Linked DNA regions of Callithrix jacchus. The protein of the gene in region 4 binds, or shares a complex with, the protein of the main gene of each other region. Links are inferred from orthologs where the notes say so. Each region holds a gene or a part of one and is shown on either strand. Other genes may lie near its edges.

Region 1 (3,500 bases), on a different chromosome or scaffold from region 4:
TACCAGGTCCTACTTTGTGCAGGCCCAGTGCCAGTCACTTTACAGACATAGTCTATAATTATCAGATTTATCCTGTAAGGAGGAGACTATGATCCTCACTTTACAAATGAGGAAACAGAGTCTAAGAGAAACTAGGTAGTAAAAATAGGCTGATACAGCTGGAAAGTGGCAGAATCTGGTTTCAAATCCATGCCTGCGCTCATTCCCCCTACCATGGATGGATTTTTCTTTTCTATTTAGTGCTGTTATTGAATTAATACATAAATCCCAGTGCCCAAAAGTCTGGTTCTGGCATGAAGGTTCCTCTGACTACACTTCCCCTGGCAGTCCTGAAGCAGCAGGTGAATACATATTTCAGGGAGAAACAAAACCACATACCTAAATGTAGCTGGACATCTTTCACCTCCAGAGTGCTGGACTTGCGATGCCGTGCAAGCTGACAGGCTGCTGTCACCACACTCTCGATAAAATCATCAGCAATCTGCAGCAGCATCTGGGGAAGGTAAAGTGGGGAGAGTCACCACGACATTGGCAAATAGGCTTCTGGTGGTGGGACAACTGCTTTCTGCTTAGGTTATATATCTAGTCAGGATTTCTAGTAGAAGGCTGGAATTAGCATTTGGGCTAAGGTGGGGAAGAGGAATGAGAAGGACAAAAGAAAAACATTACCCAGGTTGAGTATAACTCACACCTTTCTGAGCATATACTTTCTTTTTCTTTGAGATGGAATCTCGCTCTTGTTGCCCAGGCTGGAATGCAATGGCATGATCTTGGTTTTCTGCAACCTCCACCTCCTGGGTTCAAGCAAATCTCTTGCTCAGCCTCCCAAGTAGTTGGGATTACAGGTGCCCGCCACCACACCCAGCTAATTTTTGTATTTTTAGAGATAGGGTTTCACCAAGTTGGCCAGGCTGGTCTCAAACTCCTGACCTCAGGTGATCTGCCCATCTCAGCCTCTCAAAGTGCTGGGATTACAGACTTAAGCCACAGCGCCCGGCCTCAGCATATACTTTTTACCTGGCAGTGATCAACTATCACAATCCCTACCTTTCATATCTTTATTGGTGGAAAAATAAAAGTGAATCATTTGAATTCCTCACTCACAGACTCTTAAAAGCACTTTTATTTCTATTATCTCACTTAGTCCTTGTAATTATCCTATGAAGAAAATTGGACATGGATTTTATTCATTCTATAGAGGATTTTAGAGACTCAGAGAGACTAATTTGTTCCTGGCCATGTAAGGAGAAAGCAGAAGGCCAGGTGCAGTGGTGCATGCCTGTCATCCCAGCACTTTGGGAGGCTGAGTTGGAAGAATCATTTGAGGTCAGAAGTTTGAGACCAACCCAACAATACTGAAAGACCCTCATCTGTATTTAAAAATAAATAAATTGAGGGTGGACATGGTGGCTCACACTCATAATCCCACAACTTTGGGAGGCTGATGTGGGCAGATCATTTGAGGTCAGAAGTTCGAGACCAGCCTGACCAACATGTTGAAACCCAGTCTCTAAGGGTCAGGTGCGGTGGCTCACTCCTGTAATCCCAGCACTTTGGAAGGTCAGGCAAGTGGATCACCTGAGGTCAGGAGTTTGAGACCAGCCAAAATAATGAAACCCTGTTTCCACCAAAAATACAAAATTAGCTGGGCATGGTGGCAGGCATATGTAATCCCAGCTACTCTGGAGGTTGAGGCAGGAGAATCTCTTGAATCCAGGATGTAGAGGTTGCAGTGAGCCAAGATGGTACTATGGCACTCCAGCCTGGGTGACAAGAGCGAAACTCCGTCTCAAAAAAAAAAAAAAAAAAACCAAAAAACCAGACATGGTGGCTCATGCCTGTAATCCCAGCTACTTGGGAGGCTGAGACAAGAGAATTGCTTAAACCTGGGAGTCTGAGGTGGCAGTGAGCCAAGACCGCACCATTGCACTCCAGCCTGGGTGACAGAGCAGGACTCTGTCTCAAAATAATAACAATAATAAAAATAATAAATAAGTTAATTAATTAATTAAAAAGAAAGAAACAAGAGGAACCAGGATTCCACCTAAAGGGTTCTGAGTCTTAATCCTGAGTTCTTTCCACATCACTATCAATTATTATTGGACTGTGTGAAGAGAAGGATGAGAATTCTGAAGATAATCATCTACATGAGGCCAGGCACAATGGCTCACTCCTATAATCCCAGCACTTTGGGAGGTTGAGGCAGATGGTTTGCTTCAGCTCTGGAGTTCAAGATTAGCCTGGGCAACACAGATGGCAAAACCCTATCTCTACAAAAAATACAGAGATTAGCTGAGTTTGGAGGCATGCACTTGTAGTCCCAGCTACTTGGGAGGCTGAAGTGTGAGGCTTGCTTGAATCCAGTTAATCAAGACTGCAGTGAGCGGTGATTGTGGCACAGCACTCCAGCTTGGGTGACAGAGACCTTGTCTCAAAAATAAATGAATAAATAAATACATGAAAAAAAACTGAGGTTACTTATTTATTTATTTATTTTTGAGACGGAGTCTCACTCTGTTGCCTAGGCTAGAGTGCTGTAGCATAATCTGGGCTCACTGCAACCTCTGCTTCCCAGGTTCAAATGATTCTGCTGCCTCAGCCTTTCAAGCAGCTAGGATTACAGGCACACACCACCACGCCTGGCTAATTTTTATATTTTTAGTAGAGATGGGGTTTCATCATGTTGGTCAGGCTGACCTCTAATTTCTGACCTCGTGATCTGCCCACCTTGGCCTCCCAAAGTGCTGGGATCACAGGCATGCGCCACTGTGCCTGGCAAAACTGAGACTTTTATCAGTCAATATATTTCCCATGGCTTCCTCTAGTGACAAACAAAAACAAACTAAAATTACAACCATAGACACAAAATTCCTTATTCTGGTCATTAACTCAGTGTCATCTTTACTGTGGGAACCAAATGGATACCATCTAAAAGAAAGACTTCTGATTAAACAGCAGATCAACTCCAAAAATTACTGCCTATCCCTCCCACAGTGCATTAAAATAAACAGTTAAAAAAAAAAACCAACTTATTGCCAGGTGCAGTGGCTCACGCCTGTAATCCCAGCACTTTGGGAGGCCAAAGCAAGTGGATCACTTGAGGTCAGGAATTTGAGACAAGCCTGACCAATATGATGAAACCCCTTCTTTACTAAAATTACAAAAATTAGCCAGGTATGGTGGCGTGTGCCTCTAGTCCCAGCTACTTGGGAGGCTTGAACCTGAGAGGCAGAGGTTGCAGTGAGCAGAGATCATACCAATGAACTCCAGCCTGGGCGACAGAGTGAGACACCATTTCAAAATAAATAAAATAAAATAAAATATTAATCCACAAAGACATCAGCAACAGAAGAGAAAATCTGAATGGGCAAGAATTTCCAATAAACTTTTTTTTCCTGAGCCTTACCATAGAAAAGAACCAATAACTTTTTTTTGTTTGTTTTTGAAACAGGGTCTCCCTCTATTGCCCAGGTTGAAGTACAGTGGCCCAATCAAGGCTC
Region 2 (3,500 bases), on a different chromosome or scaffold from region 4:
TGGCCATTATAAAGATTTCAGGTTTTACTCTGTGGCAAGTGGAGAGCCATTATAAGGGTTTGAGCAAAGAAATGACAATATGCTTTACAGTTTGACATTAGCATTTTGGCTGCAAAGTTAGGAACAGATGTAGAGAGAGACAAGGGTAGAGATCAGTGGACCTTGTCTGGAGGCTTTTAGAGTTACCAGGGGATAGATGATGGTGACCTGGGCCAAGCAGCGAGAACAGGACAGTCAGGTTGGACTACTGGGTGGATTTTTTTTTTTTTAATCTTATTATATATTTTTTGAGATGAAGTGTCTCTGTCGCCGAGGCTGTAATACAATGGCACAATCTCAACTCACCACAGCCTCCACCCCGCAAGGTCAAGTGATTCTCCTGCCTCAGCCTTCTGAGTAGCTGGGATTACAGGCACGCACCACCATACCCGGCTGAGTTTTCTGTTTTTAGTAGAGACAGGATTTCTCCATGTTGGCCAGGCTGTTCTCGAACTCCTGACCTCAAGTGATCTGCCCACCTCAGCCTCCCAAAGTTCTGGCATTACAGGCCTGAGCCACCACCTGGTGGATCTGATGTGAAGGCTTAGATAAAGAACAAGTGCCTGGACGGATGGCAGTGCTGTGCAGATAAGGAAAGCTGAGGCTGGGCCAGGCACTTCAGCTCATGCCTCTAATTCCAACACTTTGAGAAGCAAAAGCTGGAGGCTCCCTTGAGCCCAAGACATCAAAGTGCTGGGATTGAAGCCTTGAGGTATAACAGAAAAAGAAATATGGGCTGGGCCTGGTGACTCAGGCCTTTAATCCCAGCACTTTGGAAGGCCAAAGCAGGAGGATTGCATGAGGCCAGCAGTTCAAGACCAGCCTGGGCAACATAGTGAGACTCTGTACCCCCCCAACAAAAAAAATTAGCTGTGCTGATAGTACACATCTATAGTCCCAGCTACTTGGGAAGCTGAGGTGTGAGCACTGCTTGATCCTGGGAGCTTCTGAGCCCTATCAGTCCTCCCACCTCTGCCTCCTGAGTAACTAAAACTATAGCTTTAAGCCTGCATGCCCAGCTAATTTTGTACTTTTTGTAGAGATGGGATCTCACTATATTGCCCAGGCTGGTTGCGAACTGCTGGGCTCAAGCGATCCTCCTACCTCAGGCTCCCAAAGTGTTAGAATTGCAGGCATGAGCCACTAGGCCCAGCCCAGAGGTTTTTTTTTTTGAGGTGGAGTCTCTCTGTCACCCTGGCTGGAGTGCAGTGGTGCAGTCTTGGCTCACTGCAACCTCTGCCCTCTGGGTTCAAGTGATTCTCCTGCCTCAGCCTCCCTTGTAGCTGGGATTACAGGTGTGCACTACCATGCCTGGCTAATTTTTGTAGTTTTAGTAGAGATGGGGTTTCGCCATGTTGACCAGGCTGGTCTTGAATTTCTGACCTCAAATGATCCGCCTTCCCTGGCATCCCAAAGTGCTGGTGGGATTATAGACATGAGCCACCACATCTGGCCCCAGCCCAGATTTTCTTCTCTGTAATACCTCAGGGCTGACTCATGTGGGGATGGATGGAAGACACCCTGAGTTACTCCCTCTCTCCACTGTCTTCCATTTTTGGCCCTCTCCTCATGCCTCACATTTCTTTTTCTTCTGCCTGCCCCATCCCTTTGCCAGGGTCTCCGTCTCTCCACCAGGAACTTCATCCTGCTGGGGAGGAAAAGGCTCCAGAATGGCTGAGGAGAAGAAGCTGAAGCTTAGCAACACCGTGCTGCCCTCGGAGTCCATGAAGGTGGTGGCTGAATCCATGGGCATTGCCCAGATTCAGGAGGAGACCTGTCAGCTGCTGACGGATGAGGTCAGCTACCGCATCAAAGAGATTGCACAGGTGACCCAGCTCTTCTCTCTAGCTCCACATTGGGTCCAAGATGTCACCCGGGGCCCCTTCCTTCTTTAGGGTCTTGGGCTGACATCTGTTCTCTCACCCATCCCAGGATGCCTTGAAGTTCATGCACATGGGGAAGCGGCAGAAGCTCACCACCAGTGACATTGACTATGCCTTGAAGCTAAAGAATGTTGAGGTGACTGGGGGAGACAGGCAGGGGGCGGGTGATGGGGACAGGGCAGTGGAGACCAGGGTGAGACGCCATCCTTCAGCCAGGTCTCCTCCAGCTCCCTTCTCACCCATGCCTCTCTCTCCTGCCACAGCCACTCTATGGCTTCCATGCCCAGGAGTTCATTCCTTTCCGATTCGCCTCTGGTGGGGGCCGGGAGCTTTACTTCTACGAGGAGAAGGAGGTTGATCTGAGTGACATCATCAATACCCCTCTGCCCCGGGTGCCCCTGGACGTCTGCCTCAAAGGTTGAAGGAGGGGAGAGGAGGGTGGCAGGGAGGAGGGAAAGTCGGACAGATGCGTGTGGGTGTGAGGAGCCTCACAATAGAAAAAAACCTCAGTGTGAGATCCCGGGTGAGTTGCAAGGGGAGCAGGAGTGGAAACATACCTTCCATAGCATGGAGCAACTCCCCAGTGTCCATGTGTGGCAATTCACCTTGACACCTGCCTTCCTTACAGCTCATTGGCTGAGCATCGAGGGCTGCCAGCCAGCTATCCCTGAGAACCCACCCCCAGGTAACCCTCTTCATGCCCCACCCTCTGGGTATCTGGTCCCTTTCCCCTTCCTCCCACCTTTGTGTGTGTGTGTGTGTGTTTGATGGAGTTTCACTGTCGCCCATGTTAGAGTGCTGGAGTGCAGTTGTGCAACAATCTCAGCTCACTGCAACCTCTGCCTCCTGGGTTCAAGTGATTGTTGTGCCTCAGCCTCCCGAGTAGCTGGGACTACAGTCACACACCAGCACACCTGGCTAGTTTTTTGTAATTTTAGTAGAGATGGGATTTGACCATGTTGGCCAGGCTGGTCTTGAACTCCTGAGCTAAGGTGATCTGCCTGCCTTGGCCTCCCAAAGTGCTGGGATTATAAGTGTGAGCAACTGTACCCGCCTTCTCCCACCTTTTACTTTTCCTGCTACTCTCATCACCCTTCCCATTGTGCCTGCTTTCCCACCAGCTCCCAAAGAGCAACAGAAGGCTGAAGCCACAGAACCCTTAAAGTCAGCCAAGCCAGGCCAAGAGGAAGACGGACCCCTGAAAGGCAAAGGTCAAGGGGCTGCCGCAGCCGACAGCAAAGGTCAGTCCTACTAGGTCAGGCCTCTCTGGACTCTTGCCCAAAGCCACATAGCCGTTTGTTTCATTTTCTTTTTTGTTTTTGTTTTTGAGACAGAGTCTCACTCGGTCACCCAGGCTGGAGTACAGTGACACAATCTCAGCTCACTGCAACCTCCACCTCCTGGGTTCAAGTGATTCTCCTGCCTCAGCCTCCTAAGTAGCTGGGATTACAGGTGCCCACCACCATGCCCTGCTAATTTTTCTAATTTTTTTTTTTTTTTTTTTTTTAGTAGAGACAGGGTTTTGCTATGTTGACCAGGCTGGTGGTCTCAAACTCGGCCTCATGTGATCCGCCCACC
Region 3 (2,710 bases), on a different chromosome or scaffold from region 4:
GAAAGAGGCACTAAAGGAAGGAGGAGAGACAGAAAAAGAGAGAAAAGTAGGCATGTGCAGTTACAGAAGTAATGGGCCCTATCAGGGCCTGGTGGCTCATGCCTTAATCCCAGCACTTTGGGAGACTGAGGCAGGAGGCTTGTTTGAGCTCAGGAGTTCAAGACTAGCCTGGGCAATGTGGTGAGACCTCATCTCTACCAAAAATTTTTTAAAATTAGCCAGGCATGGTGGCAGATGCCTATAGTCCTAGCTACTCAGGAGGCTGAGGTGGGAGGATCACTTGGTCCTGGGAGGGGGAGGCTGCAGTGAGCTTGATCAGGTCACTGTATTCCAGCATGGGTGACAGAGTGAGACCTGTCTCAAAAAAAAAAAAAGTAATGGGCAATAAAGAAATGGCTTGTGGCTCTTAGGAAACCAGAGCACAGCACTTACCCTGCTGCAGAACAGCTGCAAGGCCTTAAACACCGCCTGGCCTGAGCAGCAGCTTCCCCTTCTGGAAAACTGGCAGGCTGGACTCAATTGCTAAGCAACCTTCCAGCTCCACCATCAATGAAATGTATAAATCACATCCTATTCAGAGGGATTAATTTGGTGTCTCACCCACCTCCTGTCCACCTCAGGCTGCCTACACCGTGAGGGGGCTCTGAATATGGATGCCAAAGTAAGCAGGCCTTCTGCTGGCACCGGAGCACCTGTTAAAGAACAGTGTTTAAAAACAAGAGTTCGGCCCCAGCCTGCTCCAGATCTCCCACTTACTAACTGTGGAATCCTGGGATCCTTTTTGAGCCTCATTTTCTTCATTAGTGACATAAGAATAATAGTACATACTTTGCAGGGTTGTTAGGAGGATTAACAGAGAGAGAGAGAGCGAGTGTGTGTGTGTGTATGCATATGTATATTTTATTTAGAGACAAGGTCTTGCTCTTTTGCCCAGGTTGGTCTCAAACTCCTGGCCTCAAGTCATCTTCCTTCCTCCACCTCCCAAAGCGCTGAGATTACAGGCATGAGCTACTTTGCCCAGCCTACTGTATATGTTTTTAAGACCTTTTTTTTTTTTTAAGACACAGTCATGCTCTGTCACCCAAACTGGAGTGCAGTGGCATGATCACAGTTCACTCCTTGAACTCCTGGCCTCAAGCAGTCCTCAGCTCCTTTGGAGTTGGGACTACAGGTGTGCACCACCACACCCAGCTAATTTTTTAAATTTTTTGTAGAGACAGTCTCACTATGTTGCTCAGACTGGTCTTGAACTCCTGGGCTCAAGTGATCTCCTGCCTTGGGTTCCCAAAGTGCTGGGACTACAGATGTGAACCACCATGTGCAGCCAAGACTTTATTCTTTTAGAGCAGTTTTAAGTTCACGACAAAATTGAGAGGAAGGTACAGAGAATTCTCATATACTTCCTGTCCTTACATGTGCACACCCTCCTCCCTGATCAACATGAGTTAATTTTTCAAGAGCTTAAAATTATGCTATATAAGTGTGGTTCAGTAACTGCTTTTTGGTCACGATTGTATGAAACAATCCACAGGCGTGCCAGCCTGGGCTGGTGGGTAAGCTCAGTCTGGAAGAGGGAGGGACCACTCTCTGGAGGTGGGCTGACCATGACACCTGGCTGGCTGGTCCCCAACAGGCTGGCAAAGGAGGAGGTAAGCCGGCAGGAGCTGAGGCAGCGGGTGCGCATGGCTGACAATGAGGTCATGGATGCCTTTCGCAAGATCATGGCTGCCCGGCAGAAGAAGCGGACTCCCACCAAGAAAGAAAAGGACCAGGCCTGGAAGACTCTGAAAGAGCGTGAGAGCATCCTGAAGCTGCTGGATGGGTAGCCCTCACCCTTGCCTCAGGCTGCCTTCTGGGGGAGGGGAAGGGAGGCCCACTTCCTTCTTTGGGCACAGGGAGCGTTGGCCTGTGGCTGTCCCTCAAATGGTGGCAGTCTCTAGAGGACCGTGGCCCTTCCTTTGAGGTCTTTTGGCCTGCCTAGCTCTGTATAGCCAGGACATAGGAAGCCCTGCTGGGTTGGCCTGGGGCCTAGTCCGCTTGGTTCTCAAGATGAGGTTGGGGGGGCTTCGTTTCTGGATCTTCCTCTTCCCTCTCTTTACCATCCCCTACTCCCTAACCCCCTACCCCTCTCTCCCCGTCAAGGACTTCTCCCTGTGGTTTTATAAAGTGCAAACTAAGAATAAAGTGACTGCTGTGGTTTTTCAAAAAAAGCATCCAGTCTGAATGTCTGTTACGGTGAGGTAGGAAGGAACCAGTGTGGGTGGTAAGGTTTGTAGGGATATGCTTGGTGGCTCTCAGCCCGTGACCACCAACCTGTGGCATTCATTCAGGGAGAACTTTCTGAGCACCTCTTTCTGAGGTTACTCGTGGCTGCAGGTAACAACACCCCCCAGCTCCAAGTGGATTCACAATAAGGAAATGTGTGGGTGTGGACCGGGTGCAGTGGCTCAACACCTGTAATCCCAGCACTTTGGGAGGCTAAGACGGGTGGATAACATGAGATCAGGAGTTCAAGATGAGCCCTGACCAACATGGAGAAACACCGTCTCTACAAACAGTACAAAATCAGCCAGGCATGGTGGCACATGCCTGTAATCCCAGCTACTCGGGAGGCTGAGGCAGGAGAATCACTTGAACCCGGGAGGCAGAGGTTGCGGTGAGCTGAGATCCCGCCATTGCACTCTAGCCTGGGCAACAGAGTAAAACTCCA
Region 4 (3,500 bases):
ATGGCTTGTCTCTCGTTCATTTTCTAAACAAAATATGAGGTCCCTGAGGTTGACCCGTGTAATTCTTTGTCGTGTGAACTGCCTGGGGGTTCCAACACCCGAGCTGCCTGGGACCACTGAGCCGGAGCCCGACCCCTGGTGACGAAAAAGGAAAAGACAGTTGTGTTAGTGGGGTTCGAAGCGGGGCTGGCAAGGGGTGCCGCCTGTTGGCTGTCCCAAGTACCCTGATGCCAGAGGAGGCCAGGCCCGGCCGGGCCCCTTCCGGCAGGCCCACAGGAGGAGCCGTTCAGGGCCTGCCAGGGCAGGGGTGAGGGCAGGAGGCCCCACACTGTGCCTTCAGGATAGGGCAGACTCAGACACTGCCCAATGCCCCACAGTACTCAGACCAGGCCCGGGGCTGAGGACGGACCAGGGGGTGGCACCCGCCCAAGGCGGATGGCTGAGCAGTCCCAGGGTCACCCTCCATGCGACCGCAGCAGAGGGCACAGAAGCCACACTGTGTCTCTGTGTGTCATCCCTGCTTGGCTGCTGAATTCCTGCACTGGGTGTGCTGGGTCAGCTAAGAAGGCTGGATTGCTCAGTGGTTCCCACAGTCATCCCCGGCTCCTCCACAACCCTGCACAACCCTCCCTCTGGCTGGGCCCTGGCTGCAGAGACCCTGCCTCTGCCAGCCCCCTCCAGGTGTCCAGCTGTGTCCTGAGCCGCCTCAGACACCTTCCTGCTTGGAGAAGCATAGCTGCTGGGTGCCAGTTCTTGTGGAGTGTTCCTGTGGTTTCAGCAGACAACACCTGCACGACACCACCCAGCAGGGCACATGCCAAACTCCCAACAGCTGCTGTTTCCCCATTTGGCTGAAAACCAAGGCCTGCCATGGGGGTTAAAGTTGCTCATGTATATTTAAGTACAAAGATTACGATGGCATCTTTACAGCACGTTCTCAACCGCAGTTAAGATGATGGAAGTAACGGATTCTGCTCTGTGCATGGGAGCCAAACTGTGGGCAGCTGCAGGCGAGGCCCAGCTGCCCCGACCTGGTGCCCTCATCTTGCCCTTCCTCCCATCCCCCCTCTGCCATTATCAGTTCAGGCTGGGAGCACAGCTGCCCTGTGTGATGGTCTCTAACCGATGGCATTTTCTTTATTCCTATGAGACTCAAACAGTAGAGGGCACCGTCTCCCTTCAGATGCCCTGAGCCTGAGGGCCCTTCTTCAGATCCGCCCTGGGTCCCTCTGCTACTGAAGCCTCTGCAGGCTCCACACTCGCTCATTACAAACTGATCCGCACCTGATCAAGTTTGGGCGGGTGACAGTTTGCAGAGTGAGGGCGGGGATCTCACAGGCACCACCCAAGCAGGCTGTGACCCAGTGACACCTGCTATAGATTCCAGACTGCGGTTTGATGTGTCTACCTCAAAATAGCTCAGCAGCCAAGAAAGAGGGCTGGGGTGAAAGTGAGACGCTCATCTTGGGAGCACAATTTAAGGGATGCTGAGAGTCAAAAATCAAAATATTCTAATGCAAGTGTCAGCAGCAACCAAGGGCAGGGGGCGAGGCAGTGCCTGCTGGGTGCTGAGGCCACCCCCAGGCCCAGCACACTGAGAACCTGATGCCGGGCCCTGCTTCTGTGCCAGGCTCTGAAGGTACAACTATGAATGAAAACCATAAATTCTCCAGGTTCTATGAGTTTAATAAATAAAACTAATTTTTTTCTTAAATCTTTTAAAAAAAAAAAAAAGAAAAAGAAAAACAAGCTTACCCGCGAATCTAACCTACCCAATATTCCAACTGCCCCTCTCTACACAGTGCCCTCCACCCTCCCCACCCGCCTCACCCCAGGCAGGAGGGTCCACACTCCCTTGTCTTTCCAACAGGGTCTTTGCTCACAGAATTCTATGTGGAGTTTGGCTACCACAGAAGGTCCTATGCTAAATTGCTCTGAAGACAGAGTGGAGATCTCATGGGAACCTCTCCCTCCGTTCTCAGGACTGGGGCTGCCGGCGGACCAGGGTCTTCTGTGCCCAGCCCACACAGCAGTGGCAGCGGCTTTCCTATCTAGGTTCATTGAAACCCCTCATGGGCTATGCCCATGGTGGGCACAGAAGCCCGGGGGACTGGTCATGGAGCCTGCTGGGAGGAGAGTGAGGGCTTCCAACCCCAATGGGAGGCTGGAGGACAAAGCGTCTGTGGGGACCAGAGCCAGGGCACCCATGGACACTCTAGAGGGACTGTGTGACACACACAGGCGCAATGTTGCAAAGCAGGGCCTGGGACAACACAGATCCACGAGGGCCAGCACAGACATGAAGCCCTAGGGGGCCTCGGCCTAAACAACTCAAAACACAGGGGCTTGGGGTTTTCTAGGTGCAGGCACTGGGATTAGAGAATAAGCAAGCGAGTGAGCAAACATAAATCCCCACGACCTTGGACATGCCACGTGAACCCTCCCTGAGCTGGGTCTCCGCCTCTAAAAATGGCACCACAGGCACCCCCTGCCCTGTCACAGGGCTCTTAAAAGGGCCAAATGAAAGGAGGCGATTTCTCCACCATGCACGTGCCACAGGCACTTGAAGTTGAAGCCCAGTGCAAAAGAGTCACCATCAACAGATCCGCCTGGTGCAGGGTCTGTGCTGCCCGAATGTCAGGACCCGCACCAGCAGCGTCTGGGCTGTCCCGGAGGAGCAAGTCTGCTCCTAGGGTGGGAGCCCACTGGGCCATCCTTACCTCCACCACCACAGAGCCCCAGCCACGGGTGGCGACAGCTGCGCCCACAGCCGCCTCAGCAGCAGGTACAATGGCCCGTGCAGCACACGCTCCAGCTGCTCTGCCCTGAATGCATGCACACCCCCTCCATGCCTAACCACTCAAAGGGCGCCACACGCGAGGCCCGGTCATTGCGGCACATTTTCCAGGAGATCAGTAGTAACGGAAAACTCGGACACACAGCCTAGACAGTGAATACCACTTCCGGGAGGCTGAGGGTGACCTGGCTGCGCAACTGATGTCTCCAGCCTTTCTTCCAATCACAGCTCAGCACAAGCAAAGAACACAGGTCTATAGCAGCATCGCTGCCTGCGCAGGGCGCGGACGAGGGCACCCAGACTTCAAAATCACCGCAAGTCAGCACAGAGTCAACACACGCTGAAGCCTGACCCCCAATCCCTTCCCTGCAAGGCCACAGCGGGGCAGGTCCATAGGAAGCCACTGCTGAAAGGTTAAGCCACCTCAAGTCCGAGGGCCTGAGAGGTGTCCAAGGTGGTCAGCATAGAGCACAGGGCAGGGACTGCCGAGCATGAGACGGGAAAGGGTCATCAAGGCAACATGGCATGTCCTGAGAGGAGCCGTTTGGCGAGTGGGTAGTGAGGCAGAAGAGAAGGAAAAGGGGCAGTGCTGGGTCCTGCAGGAAACGGCCAGGACAGCCCAAGGACCATGTGGGTCCTGCACACCCGCAAGGATCTGCTTAGACCCCGACTTCCCCATGCAGCCAGCAGAGGGCGCCGGGGA
Region 5 (2,528 bases), on a different chromosome or scaffold from region 4:
CTTCCGTAGAGAGGAAAAATTATTGGGGATTGCCAATTACATACAGTAGCCTTATTACTGCGAATCACTGTCAATAAAAGGTCACTTCATTCCCCTCCATTTGAGAAAAACAATGAGAATGTATCTGATGAACTGGAATCCCAGTCGTATTGGGAAACTTCAATGTTGCAATATCTAGTCAAACTTTGAGTGTACTGGTTCTGTGAACCACCTGTAAAAACAAATTAAATTTATTAAATCATAATGGTTGTTGTATATCTGTTGATAAGCATCTGAAATATATGGGCTTTTATATTGTTTATTTTCTCAGTTTTAGGGGGAGATTATTACATTGTTTTTAACAGTGCTTGAAGTACTCTTTTATGAGAGAAAATTTTAATGGTTTTATTAGAAAAAGGACTCAAATTTTCACAAAATAGCCAAAACCAGTTGTATTGGAACACCAGAAAATAATCAACTTCCCATTACCACCAGCTAGACAGAAAATGAATACACATAAGGCAAGTTGGAAAACAGTTTAATGATCACTCACCAAAATCCACAGGAGAATCTTAAATGTTTACAAGCACCAGTTATTCCACGATTCCTGCCTTTACCACGTCCTTCATGGTAGAGTATCACAAGTCAAAGTTTCTGGTTGTTTCATCTACTTAAAACTGGTTGTAAGAAACGAACTAAGTCTTAGCAACTTTAGGCTTCAATGTGAAACCATTAAAGCTCTTGGCACTTAAGGAGGCTGAGGCAGGAGGGCTGCTTCAAGCCAAGAGTTCATGACCAGCCTGGGCAACAAAGCAAGACCCCATGTCCATAAAAAATAAAAATAAGTTAACTGGACACAGTAGTGTGTGTCTGTAGTCCTAGCTGCTCAGGAGATTGAGGTGGGAGTGTCACTTCACTTAAGCCCAGGAATTCAAGGCTGCAAACATGCCGCTGCACTCCAGCACTCTAGCCTGGGTGACACGCAAGACCCTATCTAAAAAAAAAAAAAAAAAACCTCTTGGAAAGATTTTTCTCTCTGAAAGCAGTTCTCCTGTCCAGAAAATGTTTATGGCCCACACTTCTTCCAACTGGCCAAGACAAATACTTCAAAATGCCCCAAGAGGTCCCAAAATTTAGTCAAGGCAAGTATCAAACAGGCTACATACTTTCTAGGTGTGACGAATAATCAAGAGTTTTGAGAGACATTAAAATCATGGAATCCTTGGAGGACTGAGATACTAAAGCACCAGTAGCCAGTCTTACAGGAAGTCCGGAACCAATACTTCTTCTGTCAGTAACAGGCCTTTCTAGACTTTGGTCTAGAAGAAGATGATTTTTTTGTGCTTCGAGTTAGGGATCTGTCCTTTTGACTTTAACCTTCTAACAGCTTCCCTCATATGTTTGGGTTGCAGTGGTGGCATTTCTCCCCATTTCTCACACACATCCAGTGCTAAACAGAGGGTAAGGAGAAAGTCTTATTATCACACAAGAATTTACTAATCACATAATCCTTTTGAGTCCTGTAATTCTCGTTAACCTTTCTTAAGCTTGCTAAGGAAATAAACCAAGACATTTTTACTTTAAGAGAATGATATAAAATGTATCACATTAGTTTTAGTATAACATTTCATATCAGGCTTTATCATAGACAGCAGTTTAAAACATATTTCTTATAGGCCGCATGCTATGGCTCATGCCTATAACCCCAGCAGTTAGGGAGGCCAAGGTGGGAGGATTTGCTTGAGCCCAGGGGTTTGAGACCAGCCTGGGCAACATGGCAAAACCTTGTCTTTACAAAAAAATTAAAAAGCCAGGGTGGTGGTGTGCACCTGTGGTCCCAACTACTGAGGAGGCTGAGGCAGGAGGATCACCTGAGCCCAGGACCTGCTGTCGCAGTGATCCATGATCATGCCACTGCACTCCAGCCTGGGCAGCAGAGTGAAACCCTGTCTCAAAAAAATAACTACATAAAAATAAAATTAAAAATTAGCCAGGTGTGGTAGTGCATGCCTACAGTCCTAGCCACTTGGGAGGCTGAGGCAGGAGGATCCCTTGAGTTCAGGAGTTTGAGGTTGTAGTGAGCTATGATCACACCACTGTTATCATCTCATTTTGTACACCATCTTAATTGATGATTTGTAAAAGAAAAAAAAAAACATGAAAAAAACTAAAGATCATGCCACTGCACTCCAGCTTGGGCAACGGAGCAAGACCCTGTCTCAAAAAATAGTAATAATTTAAAAGTATGTATCTCCTGCTTAAAAAATAAAAAAATTCACCAGCTAGAGTAGCAATGGGAAACAGCCAGGCTTTTTACTCAATAACGGGGGCAGCTCCCAGGGATCACTACATTAGGGACAACTTACCATCCCATACAGGTCAGCCCTGGGATTGCTTTTCTTTTATTTATTTATTTTTTTACTTCCTCTAACACGGATCATAGGAAACAATGCTTTTCTTATATCTTTACTTTTGGCAGCAGAAATGAGCAAAGTCCACTGGAGAAAAAAAATCTAGGCCAGGTGCAGTGGCTCAAGCCTGTAATCCCA
Region 6 (4,283 bases), on a different chromosome or scaffold from region 4:
GATCTCTCTAGATGAATCAATTTTTTCATTCAGTTAGCAAATATTTTTTGTGTATCTCCCAAGTTCTGATACTATGAACTGGGACACAACGGCCAAGATGGAAAAAGATCACTATCACGGAGCTTTGGATCATAAGGCAATAAAGTGAATTTTGGAACTGTTAATTACATCTTGAGAGAATTCTCTTAAATTTAGGGGCAATTAATATTTTAGAGGATAGAAATTAAGTATTAATGGCCATTATGCTCTACCAAACAGATCTTATTTTAAAAATAAATAGAAATAAGTACTATTATCCAGTTATGCCAAAATACTAAAAGCATGCATTGAAGAATACCTGACTAGCCATAGAAAAGACAAGCAGAAAACAGCAAAACAGAGATAGTGCAAAAAAAAATTTCCAGAGTAATTTAAAATTAGCTACAAGAGAGGCAGGAAACAATACTTCCATTATATCTACTTTAAAAAGATGCTCAGCTATCAGACAATTCTGTCCAAAATGAACCTGTGCTTCCAGAAGAACACTTCCTTCACTGTTTACATTTACATCTAAATCAAGCACATAAAAAGGAATCATCCTTGTTTCCCCAGGAGTATTCCAGAACAAAAGTAAATCCAGAGGTAGGATTCCCCTACAGGCATTCTCAGAATTAAAACAATGTAGACTGTGGGCTGGGCGCGGTGGCTCACACCTATAATCCCAGCACTTTGGAAGGCCAAGACAGGCGGATCACCTCAGGTCTGGAGTTGGAGGCCAACCTGGTGAAACCCCTTCTCTTAGCCGGGCGTAGTGGCACGTGCCTGTAATCCCAGCTACTCTAGAGGCTGAGGCAGGCGAACAGCTTGAACTCCCGAGGTGGAGGTTGCAGTGAGCCAATATCGCGCGCCACTGCACTCTAGCCTGGGTGACAGGGTGAGATTCTGTGTCAAAAAAAAAAAAAAAAAAAAAAAATATATATATATATATATATATATAGAGAGAGAGAGAGAGAGAGAGAGAGAGAGAGAGAGAGAATTATATAGCGAGCTGCATGTCCTCACTCCACTAATTCGGGTACTTTAAAATCCATTGCATAGCAGCTACACATTCTTGTATTGACACCAGATTGGTTAAGACCCTAGGGAGCATCCGAGATGTTTCCAGAAGCAAGGACTCCATCTCCGGGGATCACCCGGAAGTCTAAAAGCCATCGAGCCCCAAATCGATCCCGTAAAAGTGCTGGCTTAGCGGGGGATGAATCTGTATCTTTCTTGGAACTTCCAACCTTTAAATATTTTGAAACCAACAGCCCTTACGAAACCCTGCCATTTTCATCCTGGAAGAACATTTCTCGCGAAAAGACGAACTTCACGCTGGGCACCGTAATTGCGCTATTGCGCCGGCGCACGCCGGGCTCCGCACTTCCGCCCGGGCGGGCTGTCACTCACAGCCGCCTCCCGCCCCGCGCCGTGACGTAGCACTTCCTTTTTCGCTGGGTTGGGCACTCAGTCGGAGGGTCAGCGAGTTGACGGTTGTTGTGCTGCGGGCTGCCGCTCTCGTCAGGCTTTCGCGCTGCCCGTCCCGGGCCCTTTCATCAGTAATCGGTAGTGGATCATTCTGCAAACCAGCAGGAAGAACAAAGGAAACGAGAAGGAGACGCTGGGCTCCCTCCCGCTTTGCTCCGTTCGGCTTCCTTCCGCTTTGCTCCGTTCGGCCTGCTCCCGCTTTGCTCCGCTCGGCCTGCTCCCGCTTTGCTCCGCTCGGCCTCCTGTTCGCTCCAACCGGGTGAAACTGAACTTATAATCGTCACTGGATTGTAAGTACCCGAGGCGAAGAGAGCTTACTGCGCCCCGATTTTTTGAATGTCTTTGTTCCGGGAGAGTCTGTGACTTGGGAGTGTCTCTGCTGGGCTTTCTGGGCCGAAAACCGTTCCGCGGGAGCCGCCATTTGCTTTCCTGCTCTGTAGCTAGCTAGCTCTATCCGCGTTGTCCGGCAGCGGCACCTAGAGGTTGGGACTTGGCATTGCATCTGATTTAATGAAAAATCTGTGAATAAGCCATTGTTGTCAGTAACGACTGGTATTCAGTCACAGCATATTTAGAGAAAAGACTTGGACTTAAAACTGAAGCAAAATAGACGCTTAGCTGCTGATCTACAGAGAACTTCTTGTAATTAAACGATTTCAATTCATAGCAAACTGGTGTTTTAAACTGTTGCAGTAGCTGGAACTTTTCAGTGTAACCAGCATTTATTGGAGAAGTGAGTCACAAAGAAATAAAGATGAGTAAAAGCAAAGATGATGCTCCTCACGAACTGGAGAGCCAGTTTATCTTACGTCTGCCTCCAGAATATGCCTCTACTGTGAGAAGGGCAGTACAGTCTGGTCATGTCAACCTCAAGGACAGACTGACAATTGAGTTACACCCTGATGGGCGTCATGGAATTGTCAGAGTGGACCGTGTTCCATTGGCCTCAAAATTGGTTGACCTACCTTGTGTTATGGAAAGCTTGAAAACCATTGATAAGAAAACCTTTTACAAGACAGCTGATATCTCTCAGATGCTTGTAGCCACAGTTGATGGTGATCTCTATCCTCCAGTGGAGGAGCCAGTTGCTAGCGCTGATCCTAAAGCTAGCAAGAAAAAGGATAAGGACAAAGAGAAAAAGTTCATCTGGAACCACGGAATTACTCTGCCTCTAAAGAATGTCAGGAAGAGAAGGTTCCGGAAGACAGCAAAGAAGAAGTATATTGAATCTCCAGATGTGGAGAAAGAAGTGAAACGATTGCTGAGTACAGATGCTGAAGCTGTTAGTACTCGGTGGGAAATAATTGCTGAAGATGAAACAAAGGAGACAGAAAATCAAGGCCTGGATATCTCTTCTCCAGGAATGTCTGGTCACAGGCAGGGCCATGACTCATTAGAGCATGATGAGCTTCGAGAGATATTCAATGACCTCAGCAGCAGCAGTGAGGATGAAGATGAGACCCAGCATCAAGATGAAGAAGATATAAACATCATTGACACTGAGGAAGATCTGGAGAGACAGCTACAGGAGAAGTTAAATGCATCAGACGAACAGCACCAAAAGAATGAAGGAACCAATCAGCTGGTTATGGGAATTCAGAAGCAGATTGACAACATGAAAGGCAAGCTCCAAGAGACCCAGGACAGGGCAAAACGACAAGAGGATCTCATCATGAAAGTGGAAAATCTGGCTCTCAAGAACAGATTTCAGGCTGTACTGGATGAGCTCAAGCAAAAGGAAGATCGAGAAAAGGAGCAACTCAGCTCTTTGCAAGAGGAGCTAGAATCACTCCTAGAGAAGTAAAAAGAACTCTGCTACTGAATTTCAGTCTTCAGACTGGTCAGCAGTAGAAAATTCTTAGCTTTATTACTTGTACTGCATATTAAGACCTTGCCCTTCCTAGTCCCTCTAATGCTGGGTGTTCTGTTGAATTCTTTTGTTTTTAATTTTGTTTTTCTGCAAACTTACCTTGTTTTGCTAGTTGTTAATCCTATAAGAAAAATTATATAGGCAGAAAAATGATTGTAGGAAAGTTGCAGTATTAGTGTAATGTATGGTTCAACCTTAATTATAGTTTCACTGCAGGACTTTGCTGTTTATCCATTTTCCTAGAAGCTGGTGTTGCTGCTTTGTGATGACATGAGATCAATAAGAAAAACTTAGTCTAGAGACAGTGAAGCTGGTTTGTATATGTTTTCCCATGCAATAGCTGTTTTCCCAGTTATTCAAAGCAGTTTCCCATATGTAGAACTGCAAATTATTTTATAAAGTTTTCAATACAATAAATAAAAGCGTCTGTTTTTCACCTTATAATGTATCTTGTTCTTTCATGGTTGGTGGGAGTGAGATTCTCTTGGGAGGTGTTTTTGTGGTGGAGTTTAGTAACTGAGCAATTTAATCCTGTTCTGCAGGTAGAAGCAGTTGGATTTTATGAAAAAAAAAAAAAAAAAAAAAAAAAGGAACGTAGCAGGGATAAAGAAATTGGGAGTTGTCAAATTTGCATCACATTAAGGTTCCAATTCTGTCTGATCTACTTGAAGCTGGGAAACATTAGATACAGAGCTTTCTTTACCATAATTTCTGTAGATGAAGGCCTTTGTGCTTTTTTTTTTTTAAAAGCACTAAATCTACCTGCTTAAAATGTTGAAAACAAAGCAGTGGTTATCAAGTGCAGTCCAATGAACCATTCCATTGGTTTGAATTAAGATTTTATTTCTAATTTTCTTCAATTGAGTTCCTACAATTATTTAATATTCTAAGAACTGAGGTTATTTAT
Region 7 (4,032 bases), on a different chromosome or scaffold from region 4:
GGCCAAAGTGGGTGGATCACTTGAGGTCAGGAGTTCGAGACCAGCCTAACCAACAAGGTGAAACCCCATCTCTCAAAATAAAAAATTAGCTGGGCGTGGTGGTACATGCCTATAATCCCAGGACTTGGAAGGCTGAGGCAGGAGAATCGCTTCAACACGGGAGACAGAGGTTTCAGTGAGCCAAGATCGCATCATTGCACTCCAGCCTGGGCAAGAAGAGGGAAACTGTCTCAAAAAAAAAAAAAATGTATTAATCTGAGTTATACCTTAATTTTGGTTTTATGCCTCTGACAGGCTAATAAATTTGCATTCAATTTCAGTGGGTTCATGTATCTTAGTAATTCTTCAATGTCTTTAAAGTTGACCACGTTTGTATCTAAACTTTTTGCTTTGTTTATAGGATTTTAAACTGCCTCTGGTTCTTAACCTCATCTGTTAAGTTCCATGCCTGGAGAAGCTAATCCCAACTCATCATGTGATAATACAATTTGTACAATAAATTATGAACCTGGAAAAGCTGGTCTTTATTTACAAGGTATCAAAAATATAAAAACTGTACAAAATGCAACAAAGGCAAAAACTGGCAGTGACTTGGTCTAAATCTTTTAGTTTCCCAAAGCAAGGCTCAGTACTGGAGGTAAGCAACGGAAATGTCTGTCTGACTTCAAGTGTACTAGGTTGTATGTAGCTGTTTTAGCTGAAGTAGAACATGGAAGCTAAATTTCCTCAACTCGTTTATCAAGTGTTTGGCTGCACTCAAAACTCAACAGGTATATAAATTCAGATGTCAGTGGAGAGCTGTATTAAATCTAGATCTAAAATAGGAACTGTAGTTCACCCTACATAGTTAGATATGTTCCACTAATCATGGGCCAAGAAAAAAAAATTAGCAGATCATTTTACATAGTACTTGAGTGCCATATAGTAACTACATTTTTACAGCAGAAACATACATGCTCATAGGATTCTTCAGCTAAAATTCAAAATGATATATTTCTGATTTTGAATCTCGAAGCAGGATGAATTATTGAAATTAACTTTTTTTCTAAATGTAATAAATTAAAATAGCATTTGAACAGAAAATGCATAGTTTCCACACAATCCAAAGCACCATAAATGTCCCCTCCATGAACATAATACCTCTTATTCAACTAACGGAAATTAGTCAAATGTGGTTGCTATAGAAACGTGGAACTGTCATGTTCAGATTTTCCAAGCAGCATACTTCCAGATCCGTATAGACAAAAACATTCTTTGTAGCTTAAATATTAATCACTGAGGTATTTGCTTTTAGTCTCCCTTTTTAAAAACAGTAGCTTCCAAAAGGTCTTTAACACCGATGGTTTATTGCGGACTATAAGCTCCTGCAGCTAGAACCAGGTTTCTTCGAGTAAAATGAAGGTGTACAACAGGTGTAGATTTGGTCATATATGTTCCCAATAATAACTCCTGTGAATTCTCAGGTAAATTTATATGCCCAGTGGCTGTAGTAAAGTCATCTGTCTCTAAATCTTCAAAGGCTTTGATAGCATCCCATAATCGAACTGTATTATCCATTGAACCTAAGGGGAAGTCAAAGGAAACCATTAGCTGCATCCATCATATTTAGATTCTGAGACTGTCCAATGCATTTTATGTATTTACTGTACATTTTGGGTGAAAAATCTAAATTTGGCCAACAACTACTCCTAAAGGAGCATTTCAGGTGGTTTTTTTTTTTTTTTTGAGACGGAATTTCGCTCTTGTTTACCCAGGCTGGAGTACAATGGCGCGATCTCAGCTCACCGCAACCTCCGCCTCCTGGGTTCAGGCAATTCTCCTGCCTCAGCCTCCTGAGTAGCTGGGATTACAGGCAGGCGCCACCATGCCCAGCTAATTTTTTGTATTTTTAGTAGAGACGGGGTTTCACCATGCTGACCAGTATGGTCTCGATCTCTTGACCTCGTGATCCACCCGCCTCGGCCTCCCAAAATGCTGGGATTACAGGCGTGAGCCACCGCGCCCAGCCCTTCAGGTGGTATTTTAAGTCCACCTGAGAAGTCCAGACTGAGAAGTCATTCGTGTAGGGTGACACTGGAATCATAGCTAAAGGAAAGCAAAACCTGAAACATCAGGACTTAATTTAGCAATCGTCAACACTGTTTCCTCTTACCATACCATTTACCATAAAGCCATTAATAGTCATTTACCTGATGCCAAAATTTCACCATCTCTACTAAACCTGAGTGAACAGACTGTATCAGTGTGGCCTTTTAATTCTCCAACCATCAAACCATGTCCAATATCCCAAAGAAGTACTCTGCCATCTGTTGCTCCTGTAGCCAGGAATCTCCCATTGGGAGAAAATGTCAAGGAATGAATTGGTCCCTAGAAAAGAAATTTAGAGGACCAAAGTCAAGTATGTCCAAGAAAATAAGAAAAAATTTTAAAAGTTTTGTAGAAAGAATGGTGTCTTTAAAATTTATGTTACTTGTTTAAAACATATTTTTTTGTTGAAAGCAACTTCGGATGCTAGAATAATAAGAGTGTAAAATACCTTGTGTCCAGTGAAGATCCTTACACAGTTACCATTCAGGACATCCCAGAGCCGCACAGTTCTATCTGCAGAGCCCGTAGCAACATAATTAGAATTTGGATGGAATCTGGTACAATTCACATCAGCAAGATGGCCAGCAAATATCCTTAAAGGCTGATAGTGGTCTGTAGCCCAAAGCCTTTTATAAAGTTATTAAAAGCAAAAGATGACAATTAGGAGTTAGCTGTGAAATGCCAAAAATCGATCCAAAATAAATATAGAAACATCTGTATGAAATGTTAGTTCCAGTGGTTCCCACTTACTAGTTAACTGAGGGAAGAAGAATGAGACTAACCGTCCTAAGAGTTGATCTGGTACTGTTTTGTCTTTTTAAAAAAAAAAAGCTGAGGTCTTGCTCAAGCTGGATTCAAATTCTGGGTTCAAGCAATCTTCCCACCTAAGTCTCCCCAGTAGCTGGGACTACAGGCCTGTACCATTGTACCCTGCCGAAATTTAAGTTATAGAACTCAATTCTCTGTATACTCCTCTTCCTTCCCTATTCCTTTCTAAACCACGAGGAAGTATTTTGCCCTAGTTCTGGCCACCAAACAGTTGGTTTTTTTAAGACACAGTCTCACTGTCACCCAGTGCAGTGGTGTGATCTCGGCTCACTGCAACTTCCACCTCCTGGGTTCAAGCAATTCTGCCTACAGGCACGTGCCATCACACCTGGCTAAGTTTTGTTTTTTGTTTTTTCAGTGGAGATGGGGTTTTGCCATGTTGGCGAGGCTGGTCTGGAACTCCTGGCCTCAAGTGATCTGCCCTCTTCGGCCTCCCAAAGTGCTGGGACTACAGGTGTGAGCCACCACACCTGGCCAAATAGTTTCTAACCTGAGCTACCTTATCCTCAACTTCTAAGGAGAATACAGAGAAACATAAAGGTGCTCACAGTGGTAGTGGAAGACAAGGTTAAGCATCTGATGGGGGTGGCAGGGAGTACTGTTAATTAAGTATTTTTTAAAAAGCAGGATTTGGCTGGGCACGGTGGCTCATGCCTATAATCCCAGCACTTTGGGAGGCCGAGGAGGGTGGATCACGAGGTCAGGAGATCGAGACCATCCTCCATCCTGACCAACATGGTGAACCCCTTCTCTTAAAAAAAAAAAAAAAAAAAAAAATATATATATATATATATATATATATATATATATATATATATAAGCAGGATTCAAATAGATGTAATTGCAGATATATTAATACTCCTTCCCAAAACTGATTTTCAAATTAGTTATAAATGCAAAGCTGATCCTTAATAATGGAAGTTAAATGATTTTGGCTGGCTGCTGTAATTCCCAACAAGAAACCATTCTGATCATTGAATAGACCCAGTCATAAGATCACAGTGTTCTTACCGAGCTACTCGGTCATGGCCCCCTGACACAAAATAATATCCATATGGAGAAAATTGCAGGGAGTACTGTTAATTAAGTATTTTTTAAAAAGCAGGATTTGGCTGG

The links.
Region 1: the proteins of TAF4 (region 4) and TAF12 are in contact, whole or in part, in a crystal structure (PDB 1H3O), measured with the Homo sapiens proteins. The link is inferred for Callithrix jacchus from reciprocal best matches to the Homo sapiens genes TAF4 and TAF12. Residues at the interface, in NP_003176.2 of Homo sapiens: Phe872, Leu873, Leu874, Pro877, Leu878, Arg880, Arg881, Ile882, Ile885, Gly886, His889, Gly890, Ile891, Thr892, Glu893, Leu894, His895, Asp897, Val898, Tyr901, Val902, His904, Ala905, Thr906, Gln907, Gln908, Arg909, Leu910, Gln911, Leu913; in NP_001128690.1 of Homo sapiens: Val57, Leu58, Thr59, Lys62, Leu63, Leu66, Val67, Glu69, Val70, Glu74, Met83, Leu84, Ile87, Ala88, Asp89, Phe91, Ile92, Glu93, Val96, Thr97, Cys100, Ala103, Arg104, Ser108, Ser109, Thr110, Leu111, Glu112, Val113, Lys114.
Region 2: TAF4 (region 4) and TAF6 share a complex: the UniProt entries of both Homo sapiens proteins name them as parts of the TFIID basal transcription factor complex. The link is inferred for Callithrix jacchus from reciprocal best matches to the Homo sapiens genes TAF4 and TAF6.
Region 3: TAF4 (region 4) and TADA3 share a complex: the UniProt entries of both Homo sapiens proteins name them as parts of the TFTC-HAT complex. The link is inferred for Callithrix jacchus from reciprocal best matches to the Homo sapiens genes TAF4 and TADA3.
Region 5: TAF4 (region 4) and TAF11 share a complex: the UniProt entries of both Homo sapiens proteins name them as parts of the TFIID basal transcription factor complex. The link is inferred for Callithrix jacchus from reciprocal best matches to the Homo sapiens genes TAF4 and TAF11.
Region 6: TAF4 (region 4) and TAF7 share a complex: the UniProt entries of both Homo sapiens proteins name them as parts of the TFIID basal transcription factor complex. The link is inferred for Callithrix jacchus from reciprocal best matches to the Homo sapiens genes TAF4 and TAF7.
Region 7: TAF4 (region 4) and TAF5 share a complex: the UniProt entries of both Homo sapiens proteins name them as parts of the TFIID basal transcription factor complex. The link is inferred for Callithrix jacchus from reciprocal best matches to the Homo sapiens genes TAF4 and TAF5.

What each region holds. Positions count from the first base shown.
Region 1 is NC_133508.1:65,279,059-65,282,558, forward strand, and holds part of TAF12 (transcription initiation factor TFIID subunit 12), read right to left. Parts: intron 494-3,500; coding exon 379-493; intron 1-378. UniProt on the Homo sapiens protein: The TFIID basal transcription factor complex plays a major role in the initiation of RNA polymerase II (Pol II)-dependent transcription.
Region 2 is NC_133503.1:13,469,746-13,473,245, forward strand, and holds part of TAF6 (transcription initiation factor TFIID subunit 6), read left to right. Parts: intron 1-1,654; 5' UTR 1,655-1,709; coding exon 1,710-1,865; intron 1,866-1,971; coding exon 1,972-2,058; intron 2,059-2,185; coding exon 2,186-2,339; intron 2,340-2,550; coding exon 2,551-2,607; intron 2,608-3,043; coding exon 3,044-3,163; intron 3,164-3,500. UniProt on the Homo sapiens protein: The TFIID basal transcription factor complex plays a major role in the initiation of RNA polymerase II (Pol II)-dependent transcription.
Region 3 is NC_133516.1:66,944,169-66,946,878, reverse strand, and holds the end of TADA3 (transcriptional adapter 3), read left to right. Parts: intron 1-555; exon of another isoform or gene 556-570; coding exon of another isoform or gene 571-692; intron 693-1,633; coding exon 1,634-1,826; 3' UTR 1,827-2,210; downstream 2,211-2,710. UniProt on the Homo sapiens protein: Functions as a component of the PCAF complex. The PCAF complex is capable of efficiently acetylating histones in a nucleosomal context. The PCAF complex could be considered as the human version of the yeast SAGA complex.
Region 4 is NC_133506.1:57,549,470-57,552,969, forward strand, and holds part of TAF4 (transcription initiation factor TFIID subunit 4), read right to left. Parts: intron 136-3,500; coding exon 1-135. UniProt on the Homo sapiens protein: The TFIID basal transcription factor complex plays a major role in the initiation of RNA polymerase II (Pol II)-dependent transcription.
Region 5 is NC_133505.1:43,120,438-43,122,965, forward strand, and holds the end of TAF11 (transcription initiation factor TFIID subunit 11), read right to left. Parts: intron 1,430-2,528; coding exon 1,299-1,429; 3' UTR 501-1,298; downstream 1-500. UniProt on the Homo sapiens protein: The TFIID basal transcription factor complex plays a major role in the initiation of RNA polymerase II (Pol II)-dependent transcription.
Region 6 is NC_133503.1:39,749,875-39,754,157, reverse strand, and holds TAF7 (transcription initiation factor TFIID subunit 7), read left to right. Parts: upstream 1-1,483; 5' UTR 1,484-2,260; coding exon 2,261-3,310; 3' UTR 3,311-3,817; downstream 3,818-4,283. UniProt on the Homo sapiens protein: The TFIID basal transcription factor complex plays a major role in the initiation of RNA polymerase II (Pol II)-dependent transcription.
Region 7 is NC_133513.1:96,372,799-96,376,830, reverse strand, and holds the end of TAF5 (transcription initiation factor TFIID subunit 5), read right to left. Parts: intron 2,715-4,032; coding exon 2,537-2,714; intron 2,368-2,536; coding exon 2,190-2,367; intron 1,563-2,189; coding exon 1,345-1,562; 3' UTR 501-1,344; downstream 1-500. UniProt on the Homo sapiens protein: The TFIID basal transcription factor complex plays a major role in the initiation of RNA polymerase II (Pol II)-dependent transcription.